Caenorhabditis elegans: one gene and its partner. The protein of the gene in region 2 purifies or fractionates together with the protein of the main gene of each other region. This does not show direct contact. Each region holds a gene or a part of one and is shown on either strand. Other genes may lie near its edges.

Region 1 (6,844 bases), on a different chromosome or scaffold from region 2:
GGCTATCAGAATCCAAAAACTCCTTCAACATTTCCTCATTGGAATAATTATTATTTTCGCTTATATCCTCTAAACCAGGCAAGTCTAGGCACTTCACTAGCTGAAAAATATTAAAGTTGAAAAATTAAAAAAAAAACCATAATTACCTCTTAGGGAATATAGTCAATTGCGGCAAGCATAAGTGTACGTTTTGAGTGCTTGGTTTCTCTTGACAGAAAATCATTGTCCATTGTGATCTACATACAAAAAGTCACAATTTTAAATTATACAACATCTTTTTCAAAAAGTTGATGAAAAACGGCAACATTAAATAGTCAATGTATCGTTCAAGAAAGGAAATTTTTTAAAAACTCAAATGATCTACCAAATTTTAACTTAATTCAATGTCAAAAACACTGATAGATCAAAAAGGAGAAAGACAACCGAATCTCGAAAAAAAACTTTAAAAAAGTACTTTTAGCAAAAAAGTGTCAAAAAAAATAATCGAAAGGGATTTAACTTTTGGCAAAAAAAAATTTCCAGGAATACAATATACACTTGAAAATTTATTCATTGGTAAAACATTGGTATTCAAAAAATTTAAATGCAAAAGCAATTTGTTCAGGAGCAACATGTCGGGAATCTTTTCTTTTCCTTGAGCCAATTATCTGTAGATTGAAAGTTTTAAACCAAAAATAATGAAATTGAAGGTTTAAAACTCACTTTCACATGAGTACCCGTCTATGCTGACATGTTATTAGTCATCTGAGTTGAAGAAGTGGAATCAGAAGTGGAAGGCTGCTTATTCATTTCATTCCAGTACAATCTCATAAACTTGTCTGACATCTTCGGTGGTTCTGGAAGTGGTTCAAGATTCGTAAAGTCATCATTCCTTTTGATCTTTTGAATGTTCTTCTCGACAGTGTGTAGATAGTCACTGATCTGCTTCTTAAAACTTTCGAGCTCCAGAAATGATATATGTTGTACTTCTGGATGCTGATTCAACGAAATCAATCTGAAAATCATTTCATAAGATGAAAGTTATATCCACTAATTCAACGAACTTATTGACCATCTCTTCAGCTTCTCTCTGCTGTTCTCCTTTTCTATACAAATCCTTGATCTTCTGATGTTTCCAAAGTACTTTTCTATAACTTCCATTCTCATCTTCATGATTCGATGGCCCTTCTTCTGTATGATTTTGATCCATAAGACTTTGAATTAATTTATGTTGTTCTTCATTTTGACGAGATAGTATCATCTTTGTTTCAAGGAGACTGAAAATATTTGCGTTAAAATAATCTATATTCATAATTTTCACCTTGACTTCTCCATTTCACGTCTCTGTTTTTCTTGACGAAGTCTGAAAGTTACATGTAAACTAGTAATAGAGGCACCGGGCACTCACTGGGCATTTTCCGACTCTAAGATCTGTCTCTTCACATCCTTGCCTGTTCCAACTCTCAGTTTAGAAGCTTCTTCCTGCAGTCCATAGGCTATCTCCCGTTCTCTGAAAATAGTATAATTATCTCTCAAATTCTTTAAAATTCTAAAAACCTTTCAAGTTGATCCTTCAATTGGTTGACTTCGTTTCTCAATTTGGCGGAATCCTTTCTCTCATTTTTGAGTGTTTCCGCAGTCTCAAGTTCGCTGAAAATGAACCTATATATTATTTTTACCTGCAAATAAGCTCACCGATTCAGTTGAAGTTTAAGCTCAAATACTTTTGTAGACAATTGGTCACGTGAATTCGACACTCTAAACATGAAAAATCAATGGTGACAGGTGCAAGACAACTCACTTCTCATTAATCTCCTTCAGCTTTTTCCCCTTTTCAACGCACTTTGAAAGCTTAGTGTTTAATGCCTCATGGTCAGATTTACAGTTCCACAACGCAGACACTTGTCTGAAAGGTATAATGTCTATATTAATCCAAGACTAGAATTAACTTACTTTTTCCACGTTTCAACTTCTTCCAATTTCAACTCGAGCTTCTTCTTTGCCTCAACCTGAATCTTCACGTGGTCCAACTTTTCCTCCTGCAACCTTTGTTCAGCTTTCTTCGATCTTTCAACAGATCCAGTCATGTTCTTTTCAAACTTTTCAGACTTGTGCTTCATAGTTGTTAATTGGGTCTGAACATCTTTGAGTACATTCTGCACTGTTTTCATTTCCTTTCTGACACCACTACAGTCCGTACAGTTTGCCATACTGCTTTCCACTTTTGAAGATGAACTATTTCCTGATTCTGTTGGAGTGTCGGAATTGTTTCCTTCCGGCTTCGAGATGCTTTTTGGGTTTTCTCTTTGATTTTTCATCACTTGCGGATTTGAAGTATCTTTAACTTTCATATTTTCCTTGTCTTCTCCTAAAAATAGAATATAAAAATGTGTGCTTCAAAAACTGCAAACCTTTGATATAGCGTCGCAAGTCTTTGTGGCTTGATGATACTCCTAGGAAAATATCAACTGGGTCTGGAGGTAAAATCGAACAAAACATTTTGTGTGATCCAAATTGAGGAAACCAAACTTGTACCAACTGAAAAATGGTTTTTTATCCGGAGTTTCCGTAAAAACGTAATAGAAGACTTCAAAATATAAGGCCTAACTTAATCGTAAACTTACTTCGAGATATTTGTCCAAGAGGCAGCAATATGTACATTCTGCCACAGCTTCAAACATATCAATAGTTTCAAGTTTATTTTGAGAGACGCTTTCCAAAAGTTTGGGGAATGCTAAATCCGCGTAAACCAAAACATCTGGAAATGCTTCTGTTATTCCCAAATATTTCAGTTCTTTCTTCAAATCGTTGAGTGTGAATCGCTTGACATCTCTGATATCTTTTACTGGAATATTTTCGAATTTCTTCCAATAGTTGCACATTTCCTGTTCAATTTTTTGAAATGCATCGGTTGTGATAAAACACTGGCTTTTCTGAAAATGAAATTAACTCTCAATTATTATTTTATCAAACTATTTACCAAGAACGGTTCCAACTGTGATACGAGAATCTTGATGTAGTCATCCAATACATGCATTGAGTTTATTTTAACTTTTTGAAAAACTCTCATAATTAAAGACATTAGATAGAATATTTCGGAAAATGCTCGAAATCCAGGAATGCAGAAATCACCAGTAGAAGTAATAATTGGAACAGTTCTTTGATCCGTTTTGCATATCGGAGTGATCAAGAACTAAAATTCGAATTCATTAAAATTTGAACAAAAAAACGAAAAGTTACCTCAATATCGTGCCACAAATCGCCAAAATTCTTGAAAACATCTTTAAGTTCCATTGCATACAAGAAACCATCCACATCCTTATACTCAATTGGCCTTCGATTTGGATATTTCATATTGATTGCTTTGAATAATTCACTTCTCATCACCATTTTACGATCTTCGTATGTAAAAACTCTTACAGCAATAGGCACGTTAGGGTGATTCTGAAATTTTTTGTTTAAAACATAACCTACTTGAGTTGTCATATAATCAAAAACTGCTTGTCATTTTTTTCCAAATTTACAGAGGATTGCAGAGATCATAACATTTTTTTGAACTTATCTCACTATCTATTTTCTGTTCAATTTCTGCTTGAGCTAATTATTGTAAATAATTGATATTATGTTAGCTAAGCTTTCAAACAACTCCAAGTCGACAGAAAGCGCTTACAGAAAGCAAAAAAAAATTTTTAACTAACCGTTTGATTGTACGGCATGAATAATTCCGGATGATTGTCCATTATTTTCGAAATTATTTTAACGAAACGTTTATGGAACAAAACCATCTCCAAGTATCTTTCTCGTCTAGTTTGCATCGAGAATTCAATAATCTGACTTTTCAGAAAATCAATGAAATATTTGAATTCTTCATCCTTCCAATCAGAAAATTCCTTCTTCCACATACTAATGAGAACATTCAGGCTGAGTTTAGGTGTAGATTCGTCAAGCGCGTCAAACTCTTCATGAGTCAAGGGCTGCTGAAAAAAGTTTATAAAAAATTCAATATTCTATTGTTGCCCTCAAAATAATACATGTGATACTACAAAACTTCTAGTTAATAATTAATGAAAACAAGCGTAACTTAGTCTTACTCGTAGAGAATATTCATTTGGTAACTCAAGTCTAAGTTTATTGTTTTCCGTATACATGAAATGTTTTTTCTACTAAAGCAGTGACAACTTCGATCAGGAGTTAACTTACAGCGGCTTTGATAACTGCAACTCGGACCTCTTCCTTGATATGCTTCAAAATGGTATCATAGTTCTTTACAAACTCGTAGCAATTGCCTAATTTGTCCTCTCTTATTCTGATACAGATCAACGCGCTTTGAATGAAATAACTATCAATTTTCTGAAATGAAATGTTAACATTTTAAGCTTTAAAAGTTTATAATTACTGTCTGTGACCATGTCCTGATGAGACAGTGGCGCAAATGCGAGAAAATATCATGTTTATAGAGAAACTGTCCTCCTTTCAAGCTCTTCATTATCGGAGCAGTTGTCTGAAATTGGTGATATTTCAACATGTTGTCTCAAACTGATTAATTATTTCTCACGGTGAACACCTCGTACATTGGAACTGCACACTTTTTGTGACTGGATGTAAAGATCATATAATAAGCGAGTGATTTTCGAAACTCTGCAGCTGTTCCATACCATCTAAATCGCCGATCGGACTTGAGAATCGCTTCGAGAACAGTGTCATCGGCAAGGTTTCGTGGATCGACAAGTGATTCGAGTTTCGATAAATTCAGGTTTCGACGGAGCTGAAATGTTCAAAAACTGTTGATAAGCATATTTAATTTTTTACAACAGTTCGAAAATAAGTCTTTATATAAAAAAAGTTTTTTTTTTTGTGTTTTTGTACAGTAAGGAAAGCACGTAAGTATTCTCTCATACTTCAGAAGAATAAGCCTTGTTACGTTAACCAGATACCACACAAAAATAGGACAAAAAGCCTTCAAGAAAAAATGCTTACCTCTAACGGAATATAGTCCATTGCCACGCGTAACAGTGAATATAGTGAATAGCATGTTTGACTTTTGTAGAAATCTTCAGCCATTAGTAAACTGAAAAACAAAACAAAAAATTGTCGTTATGAAGTAAGAAAATAATGAAAAAAAAAGTAGCCGTGATGTGCAACGTTGCACCGTTCTGGCCCGGTAGGCATTCTCGTGATCTGATGGTTTTTTAATAAGCACACTACTGGAGGCCCCACGAAAAGGGGAGCAGAACGAAAAGGGGATCTGCAAAAAGGGGATCTGCGAAAAGGGGAGATACGAAAAGGGGAAATACGAAAAGGGGAGATACGAAAAGGGGAGATACGAAAAGGGGAGATACGAAAAGGGGAGATACGAAAAGGGGAGCTGGCACTGTGCCAAACGCACAAAACGCATTTTTTCTCACGCAACGCACGTTGATTTTTAAAATTTTCTTCTAGAAGATACGCTTAATAACACGCGACGCGTAACATCGGAGCATCTTTGTATTGTTTTCTTCGAGAAAAATAGCGTTTGGCACAGTGCCAGATCCCCTTTTCGTTGCTCCCCTTTTTCGTATCTCCCCTTTTCGTATCTCCCCTTTTCGCAGATCCCCTTTTTGCAGATCCCCTTTTCGTGGGGCCTCCACTACTGAAAGGTTTAGCGGGAGAAATTTGAATTTTAAAAATAATTCTTGAAAAAAAGACGAAAAAAAGGAGTTCGGCTGTTTCCTTCTTTGCTTTCTCCGTACTCAAAACATGAACACACTATCTTGCAACGCCTGCGTCTCTACAGCCAACAGAGCGTTATAGGGAGAAACGACAGCACGGAGTGCCCCCCGTCTGTTGGGTCAAAAAAAAATATTCGCGCGCAAATGGGAGAATGCAATTCTATAAACGAGGCCTGTGAAACAAACATTTATTATTCATTTTATTCAAATCAATCATGAAAAAAGGCTTCAAGTTGCCACGGTCTCTTCGGGTGGAAATTGCGATAGGGCGCGCTTGCTGCAGCTTCATTGCGTCCACCGAGATTTCACCGTTGAAGAGTGATTTCCCTCGATTTTTATTAGTTTTTCGTCGATTTTTCTATTTCAAAAATGATAACAATTATAGAGTAGACTGAACCGAAAGTGGAGAAACAAAAATTATCGGAAACCGTTCGGTGGAAATGCATAACGAACTGTTTGAAAATAACAACTGAATTTTCGGATTTTTTAAAATTAAATTTTTATTTAAGTTTTTCTCATAACCTGCAATGATAACGTTTATAGAGCAAAATTTTGTCGTCATTTTAAGATATAATTCGTCTATGTACCTGTTGAAAGAACTCAGATCGAACTCTTTTTGTGAAATTCAGTTATAATTTTTCGTTAAAACGAGGAGCTAAAAGTTATTAATCTGAATTAAAAAGAGTCGAGACAGTGAATCTAATTAATATTTGGTATTTTATTAGAGCAATACACGTATAAAACATTTTATCATGGGTTTTTCGGCTCCAATTTTGTTGGCACAATATTTTATTTCTTGCCACATACTACTGTACGTTTGGGCTCAAATAAGCCATATAAAGTGCTGAACTATGAAGAATAATGTTTCAACATTACATTACTTACAAAAAATCAGGTTGAAAGCAATGTTTTCAGTCTTTCTTGGCTTTTTTCAACATAACTTAGTATTACCATCTTATTCTGTGCCTCAACTTAATCGTTACAAGTTTGAATTATTGAGAAAACTGTATTTAAAACCTATTACGGCTTTTCAAAACTCAAATATATAAAAACGGTATCTTCTTAAGCTTTCGTTTTCAGTTTCCAATACGTTCCTTTCAGTAAGGCTTGAAACTTTTGGAAGCTTCACTGCTAGTTTCCCACTTCACGATTTTCCA
Region 2 (7,808 bases):
TCAACTATATCAACAATATCGTGTGAAAGTCGAAGGAGATGTGACTCTAACCTGCCTCTAAGCCTGTGTCTCTGCTTCTCTTCTCTCTCTTTCTCTCGTTGATAATTACGTTGCTACGGGTTACTTTATTTACATGTTCGCTGTCAAGTCATATGATTGCATTTTTTGTTTTAGATAATATTATTATAATGCTTTAATAAATTCATCTCATTGTTTATTCATTAAATTTTTTTGAATTTCGTTAACTGACCGGTTGAAAGTCCGGAAATTAATTTATTATGATAATGAGTTTTTTTTTAAAGAAAACATGAGATAAATTGGTGATTTGCAAGAAAAAATCAATTCTTAATCAAAACCTTGCAAATTCTTCTCATTTTTGATTACTGGTAAAAACTAGAATTTCTCGTTTCCATCAGTTTATTCAATGATTCTAAAAAATTTACTGGAAAAACTGTATTCATGAGATAAAGTTGAGCGTTTTTTACAGAAAATGATCCAAAATCAAAAAAAGTCTATAAATTACAGTACCCCTTTAAAGGCGCACGCCACTTTTGTAAAACGTCTCCTGCAACGATTAATTGTTTTCGTAGAAAATGTGTGCGCCTTTAAGCAATTACGGTAGTTTTTCACAATTTTTGTATGTTTTTATTTTATTTTCTAATGAAAAAGTACCCATGTTTACCGATGAGGAGTGCGCGAATTTACTAAATAATAATTTATTAAATATAAATTCACTCAAATTTAAATTTTGATTTAAAAAAATTAAAATCTGAAGAAATTCCAGAATTTAGAAATTATTTTAAATAGTAAAATTCTATTTTTCGTTAAAAATAATCTTTTCTAGGCTATAATGCACTTTCCTTCTCTATCCTATCACCATCCTGTCTCTCATTTCTATACACTCTCTCACCCGGTTTCCCTTTTTCTCTCTGCGTCTCCGATTTCCCAACACTCTTGCTGGTTGGTGGCTGTATCACGCTTTGAAGCTTCGAATACTCTAATTTTCAGCATAAATTTCAAAATCAACATGAGAAACTTATCGATTTTTGTTTTGATCACAGTTTCAGCTTTAATTTTAACTATTTTCTCAATTTTTTCACCGACAAAAATAGTTTTGCATTAAAATTTAGTGTTTTTCATGATTCTCCCACCAATTTTCTAATTTTTTCACATTTTTAAAAAACATTCCAGTAGCTTTTCAAACTCGTGGACCCCCTTTGAAGAATTAAAGTTTATAGCTGGAAAGCTTGATTTTGGATCATTTTCGCGAGTAGAAAACATTCAAATCGCTATTTTATCGTTTATTTAAAGCATTTTAGGTGATTTTTGATTTATTCACTGGTGAAAACTTCCGGAAAACGAGAATTTGTAGTTTCTAATTTATAATTAAATGATAAAAATTGGTTTTTGCTTAAAATCCTGGAAAATTGATATAAATTTGCGACTTTAGCATTAAATAAAGAAAAAAACGAAAATCCTCTAAAACAGGATTTCAGTAGAAATCCTGCAATTTTTTCATAGGTATTTACAATTTTCTGCTATATTTATCGATTTTAGAACATTTCCGCTCATTCGTTTTGTATTTAACATTAAAAACGACAATTTGTCTACAACCTTGCCAAAAATTCAAAATCTTCTCCTCCGGGAGTATTTGAGCCACGTAAATCTACAGAATGTCGAATTAGAAGTATAAATTTCGGAATCCTGAACCTTTTTTTTGAAATATCGGCTTTAAATACTCGATTTCCTCTATTTTTAAATATAAAATTCCATTAATTTTCAGAATCCTCAAACCGAATGGAAGTTGAACATGAACAACCACCGGAACATGAAGCCGGTAGTGTAGATGCTTCAAATCGACCATCAACTTCTTCTGAAAATCCAAATCCAGAAGAACCGTGTCCACAACCACCTTCTGATCCAATAATCGATGATAATGATGATCATTGTCAGTTTTTGAAGTTTTTAATTGATAAAATCCATATTTTTCCAGTAATGTGTCGAGTATGTCGTGGAAATGAGGGAAGTCTCTATTATCCGTGCTTATGTACAGGAAGTATTAAATATGTACATCAAGAATGTCTAGTAGAGTGGCTCAAGTACAGGTAATGGTGATTTTCAATTAAAAATAGCTGAAAAAATGCCTAAATTTAGCCAAAATCTGAGATTTCACCAATTTACAGCGGCTGGAATTTGATTTTTATTCAATTTTCCAATTTTGTTTGCCAATCGGCAAGAAAACGGATAAAAACCACTCAAAAATAAGTAGAAATTTAAAATAATTAAATTCTGGTCGCTATGACACGAAAAAGGTGACAAAAGTTTTAGATTTTGGCAAGTTTTCGGGATTTTTCTTTCGAAATTGAAAAAAAAGCAACTTTCGGGTAGTTTCTTAGATTTTTAGAAGAAATTTGAAAATTTAAGATCTAAAAAATAATTTTAAAAAACCAAAAAAATTGCTTCTAAAATGTAAAATTGAAGATTTCAAGCCAACTAGTTTTTGTTAAATGTTTTTGGTTTTGAAATTCTGAAAAAGTCTGTTAATGAAATTCAGCCTTTTCTAGTCAGTTTGAATTTTTTAAAATAAATTTTGATAATTTTGCCTGAAAAATACGATATCTGGAATATTAACGGCCGATTCTCAAATTGTGTGCGCCTGTAAAGAGTGCTGTAGCTCCTGATTTCTTGTTTCTCTCTAAAAATCAAACAAAAATTTAAAAATGTTAATTTTTTCAGTAAAAAAGAAGTATGTGAACTGTGTAATCACAAATATTCATTCCAACCAATTTATCGACAAGATATGCCAAAAGCTCTTCCAATTCTTGAAATATTACGTGGAGTTTTGATATCAGGAGCAATAATGGTCAGAACATGGATTATATATACAATTGTAATGACTACATGGCTTGGAATTGTACCATTAACAGCCGCCCGTATCTATAATTGCATCTTCTATTTATCATTTCATGACATTGTCAATGCACCATTCCAATTGTTCAAAGCTGAACATTTTTTCAATGATATTCTGAAAGGAAGTCTACTACTTCTCGTTTTTGTGTGTACATTCATCTCGCTTGTCTGGCTCCGCGAGCAAATTATTATCGGTGGACCACAACACTTTTTGAATATTGAAGCGGAAGAGAATGAAGGAGAGGATGATGTTGTTAATGAGAATAATGAATCGTCGGATGAATCGGAAGATGATGAAGAAGATGAAGATGATGAGGAGGATGACGACGAGGATGATGAAGAAGAGGAAGAAGATAGTGAATCTGGATATGAAGAGGATCCTGTTCCAGAATTTCGTGAAGAAGGTGAAGCTTATGTGGCTCGGAGGAGAGTACCATTTGAAGAAAGAAGACGTGATATTCTTGAAGCTAGACATGGATTCCGGCCGCAGATGGTACTGTAGATATAGGAATTTTGCAAGACCGCGGCGCGGTTTTTTTTCCTGAAAATATATTGAAAAACGAAAAAACTTCATCTAGGTTGCCTGAAGACCGCTAACTTTGGCGAATTTGAATTGCCGCGCTTTTGCCTCGAAACTCCGCCCATTTTTCCGTGCCGCACTTTTGTTTCTACGAATTCTTCGTCTTTCCTGAAGTTTTCAAGTGAAAAATAAGTGTCTTGTCTACAGGGACATTATTAAATGCTTATTGCTAAATGTTTCACTTGAAAATTTCAGGAAACAAAAATTCTATTTCAGAATTTACCTGCCAGTAATTTCAATAATTAAATTTCGTGTTTCTTTTGTGCTTTCACGGATTTTCTGACTATTTTGGCTTTTTTATTATCAAATTGCTTTTTTTCCTAAAATATGTAAGCCACAAAAAGAGATTTTTTAGAAAAAAAAACATTAGAATAACCTTAAACTGAAAAAAGTTGATAGCTTTGTAAAATTAATTGTTTGGTAAACCGCGCCGCAACCTTGCAAAATTCACAGATTAATTCAAAAATTCACTAATTTTATTCATTATTTTAGCCAAATCTGGGTATATACGATGACATGAGAGATGATGAGAATGAAGTACTCGAAAATGATCATGTACTTCAAAATGTACAAGAAGATCGTATTCCACCACCAATGGAGCCGGAGCCAATAGTTCCACGAGCAGCTGCACGTGCAAATCGACGAATTCGTCGTCAACGAGAAAATGAAGAAGCAGCGGCGGCAGCAGCAGCAGCTCAAGAACAAGGTGGAGCTGGAGATCAAGAAGATAATTGGAGAGAATGGGATCGATTTGGTGATGAACTGACATGGCAGAGATTATTGGGACTTGATGGATCTTTGATTTTCTTGGAACATGTATTCTGGGTTATATCATTGAATACACTTTTTACTGCTACTTTTGGTAAATTTTAATTGGAGTAGCGAGTTTTAAGCGGAATTTTCCCTTTTTTTAACAGTTTTTTTATTTAAAATATCTATAAATTTAGAAAGCGGAGACTAAAAATGATTACCTAAGAAATAGTCAAAAAAAAAGTTTTTTTTGGATGGATTTTTGATATTTTTAATTTGTTTTTTGTTGAAAAAATAACTTTCAAAAAATTTACATTATTCCAAATAAACAAGAAACATTTTTATAAATTGCAATCTCAAAAAAATTTAAAATTTTGAATATTCTTATTTGATTATTGTTTTTATTCTGAAATTAACGGTGAAAAATTGTGAAAAACAAACAAATTAATTAATTAAAAATCAAGTTTTATTTATTTTACACGACTATTTTTGTTAAACGTGCGCCTTTAAAGAGTACTGTAGATAGAAAATTCTTATTTCTAGCGTTGAAAATTCCACAGTAGAAATTACAGTACTCTTTGAAGGCGCACATGTAACGAAAATTGTCTGGTCGATACCGTATACCGGTACCGTATTTTTTGCGTCTAGGTAATAATAATAATTGCAAGTTTTTCAAAAAAGCAAATTAAATACATTTAAAAAGATAATTTATCAATTTTTAAAGAAAAAATTGAAAAATCGAAAAAGGAAATTTTGGAAAAAATCTGAAATTTCCCCAGCTTCAGCAGCTTCAGCTTCAGGCAGCTTTTTTGATTCTTTTAGGATAATTTCTTAAATTTTCCTGCTCAAAAGTTCCAAATTTTCCGCTTAAAAATCGCTAAGAACCGAACAAAATTTATTCAAACTGAATAACTTTTCAGCGTACTTCCCATTTCGCATTGGAAACTGGTTCCTAAGTGTCATCGGACTTCATGGAAAAATTTCATATTTCCCATCAATCGTAGCGATGCTTCTTGGATACATTCAAATAGCCATCATAACCTACGTCATTCACCAAATAATGCTCCAATTCAAAATGAAAATGATGTATCGATTCCTTGGAATAATGTTCCTTATCATTAAAGTCTTCTTGCTGGTATTCTTGGAAATTGGATTTTTCCCTGTAATGTGTGGATGTTGGATGGATGTTTGTACACTTCCATTATTCAATATAACATTATCACAAAGAATTGCAACATTTGCCACAGCTCCATTCATGTCAATATTCCTTCATTGGATGGTTGGAATGGTTTATGTATTTTATTCAGCGTCATTTGTAATACTTCTACGAGAAATTCTGCGTCCTGGAGTACTATGGTTTATGAGAAATCTAAATGATCCCGACTTTAATCCAATTCAAGAAATGATTGATCTACCGTTCACGCGGCATTTCCGAAGACTTGTTGTATCTACAACTCTGTTCTTTTCAACGATTCTTCTCATCTTCTACATTCCTCTCAACATAATCTCATCACTTATTCCATCACTTCTACCCTACAATGTTTCAATGAGCGCAGAGACTCCACTATCAGAAATCTCATTGGAACTACTGATACTTCAAGTAGTGATGCCTGCAATCTTAGAACATGCAAATGGTCGTGGTTTTATCAAGTATGGAGTCAGATTTTGGTGTAAAGTAGTTGGAGCTGCGTTGGATTTGGATCAGTATTTGTTGTCGGATAACAATAACAATAATCAGAACAATAATAATAATAACAATGATCCATTGAGAGCAGGAAATAATCAAGCTGGTGGAGGTCTTGCAGCTGAGCATCAAGCTCTTCTCCTGCTCCGCGAGCCCCGAGCCTACGAGCCATACAATCGACCATCACTATTCGGAGTTCGTGTATCGATTCTTCTTGTTCTAATGTCTTTGACAACAACTCTATCAAGTGTTGTTGTATTCATTGTACCTGCTTCAATTGGACGTTTCATTATTCTAATGGTTTCGGGACAAACGAATGTTCATGAGATGTACACTGTTTCTCTGGGTCTCTATGTTTGTTGGACAATCGGGAAGTTTGGAGCAGTTGTGACGAAGTTTGTGAGAGGAGGACCACACTTGTTCAAGAGAGCTGTTGTTCATTATTCTTACTTGGTACGGTAAATTATTTAATGTCGATTTACGGAGTACCTCGTGTACTCCTCGTGGAGAAGGTGTTGATTGTTTTTTTTACCAAAAAAGCTTGATTTTGAACAGATGTAGCTAATTTTTCTTGAATTTGACAGTCGAATTAGAGATTGGAGGCAATACCGAATCCGCAATTTTTCCGCCAAAAACACGGTACCCGGTCTCGACGATTTTTGTAATTTCGTATGTGACAAAAATTATCGTTTTGAGACCGATTACCATATTTTTAGCCCAAAAATTTACTGTTCTAAATTTCAGAAAAAAAGTGGTTCAGACAAAAACTGTAAAATCTTCTCCTCGTGGAGTACACGAGCTGCGTGAATCGACACGGGCCCATTCAACACAAGGATGCCGGTTTTTGGAAAAAAATTTCAGAAAATTTCCAAATTTTCCATAATTTCTTAATTTACAAAAAAAACCCATCCATTCAAAATTTAAAATTGAAAATTAATAAAAAATTTTCAGGGAATGCGCCTGTTTCTTGTTGCAATTCCAATAATTATCGTCTTGCCACTTTTGATGGGTACTTATTTCCAATTGGTTTTCTTCACTCCAATGCGATTGGGATATCAACAGGTAACACTTTCAGACTGGATTTCTGAAAATTCTGAGAAAAAATTATTAAAAAATTAGCCTAAAATCATAAGTTTTCAAGTCTTTTTGTCTTTTTAAAATGATTTTTACGCCGAAAAAACGTTTAAAATTCATATTTTAATCAATTTCGGCATTATAATCGTTGAAAGCAACGAAAAACAAGACAAAAATACGAAAAAAAGGGGTGGAGAGTTTTCAATTTCAAAAGAAGCATTTTTCTGCGTTTCCATAATAATTTTTTTAAAGTTTCAATTTTCAAAGTTTATGATTTTTCGCTGCAAAAAGTATATAAATATATTCTGGCCACAAAAAAAGAGTAGAAAATCTTCAAATCATTTCAAAAAATCATTTCAGACAGCACTAATGTTCCCATATCAAGACTGGGCAATGGGCGTTGTTCAAATCAAAATCTTCGGTGTAATTGCTGTAATGGGACCCGATTGGTGGCTGAAAACAGAACTCGATCTACTTGTGCAACGTGGAATTGAGAATTTTGCGGCGTTACACGTTTTCGTGAGGATTGTCGTCCCATGTATACTGTATCTATCGACTTTTATCGCTTTTCCGGTTGTTGTGATCAAGTTTTACGCGTTTATTTCAGGTAAAATGGATTCTAGAAGGATTTCAGAATTAATTGGATCCTTTAAATTGAAAAAATCTCAAAAATGGCCATGTGTTGATTTACGCAGCTCGTGTACTCCCCGAGGAGACCCCAAAAAACCTGGATTTCAATCATTTTCACTTTTTTATTGGTTTTTATCAGCTGAAAACCTTATTTAAAAAATTAAATTTAGATTTGTCAAA

Evidence for each region.
Region 1: the proteins of marc-6 (region 2) and C09E7.7 fractionate together in Caenorhabditis elegans (co-fractionation; one large-scale study listed by BioGRID). This does not show direct contact.

The regions. Positions count from the first base shown.
Region 1 is NC_003281.10:6,546,190-6,553,033, forward strand, and holds C09E7.7 (DUF7809 domain-containing protein), read right to left. Parts: upstream 5,055-6,844; 5' UTR 5,041-5,054; coding exon 4,957-5,040; intron 4,745-4,956; coding exon 4,535-4,744; intron 4,481-4,534; coding exon 4,376-4,480; intron 4,330-4,375; coding exon 4,180-4,329; intron 3,957-4,179; coding exon 3,678-3,956; intron 3,424-3,677; coding exon 3,220-3,423; intron 3,173-3,219; coding exon 2,960-3,172; intron 2,913-2,959; coding exon 2,604-2,912; intron 2,518-2,603; coding exon 2,391-2,517; intron 2,348-2,390; coding exon 1,933-2,347; intron 1,886-1,932; coding exon 1,781-1,885; intron 1,738-1,780; coding exon 1,675-1,737; intron 1,630-1,674; coding exon 1,537-1,629; intron 1,490-1,536; coding exon 1,388-1,489; intron 1,343-1,387; coding exon 1,301-1,342; intron 1,257-1,300; coding exon 1,044-1,256; intron 995-1,043; coding exon 721-994; 3' UTR 533-720; downstream 1-532.
Region 2 is NC_003279.8:10,797,840-10,805,647, forward strand, and holds the start of marc-6 (RING-type E3 ubiquitin transferase), read left to right. Parts: upstream 1-1,783; 5' UTR 1,784-1,797; coding exon 1,798-1,948; intron 1,949-1,993; coding exon 1,994-2,105; intron 2,106-2,736; coding exon 2,737-3,403; intron 3,404-3,982; coding exon 3,983-4,352; intron 4,353-5,160; coding exon 5,161-6,377; intron 6,378-6,875; coding exon 6,876-6,986; intron 6,987-7,358; coding exon 7,359-7,605; intron 7,606-7,808. Other genes in the region: F55A3.2 (C2H2-type domain-containing protein), read left to right, coding at 1-61.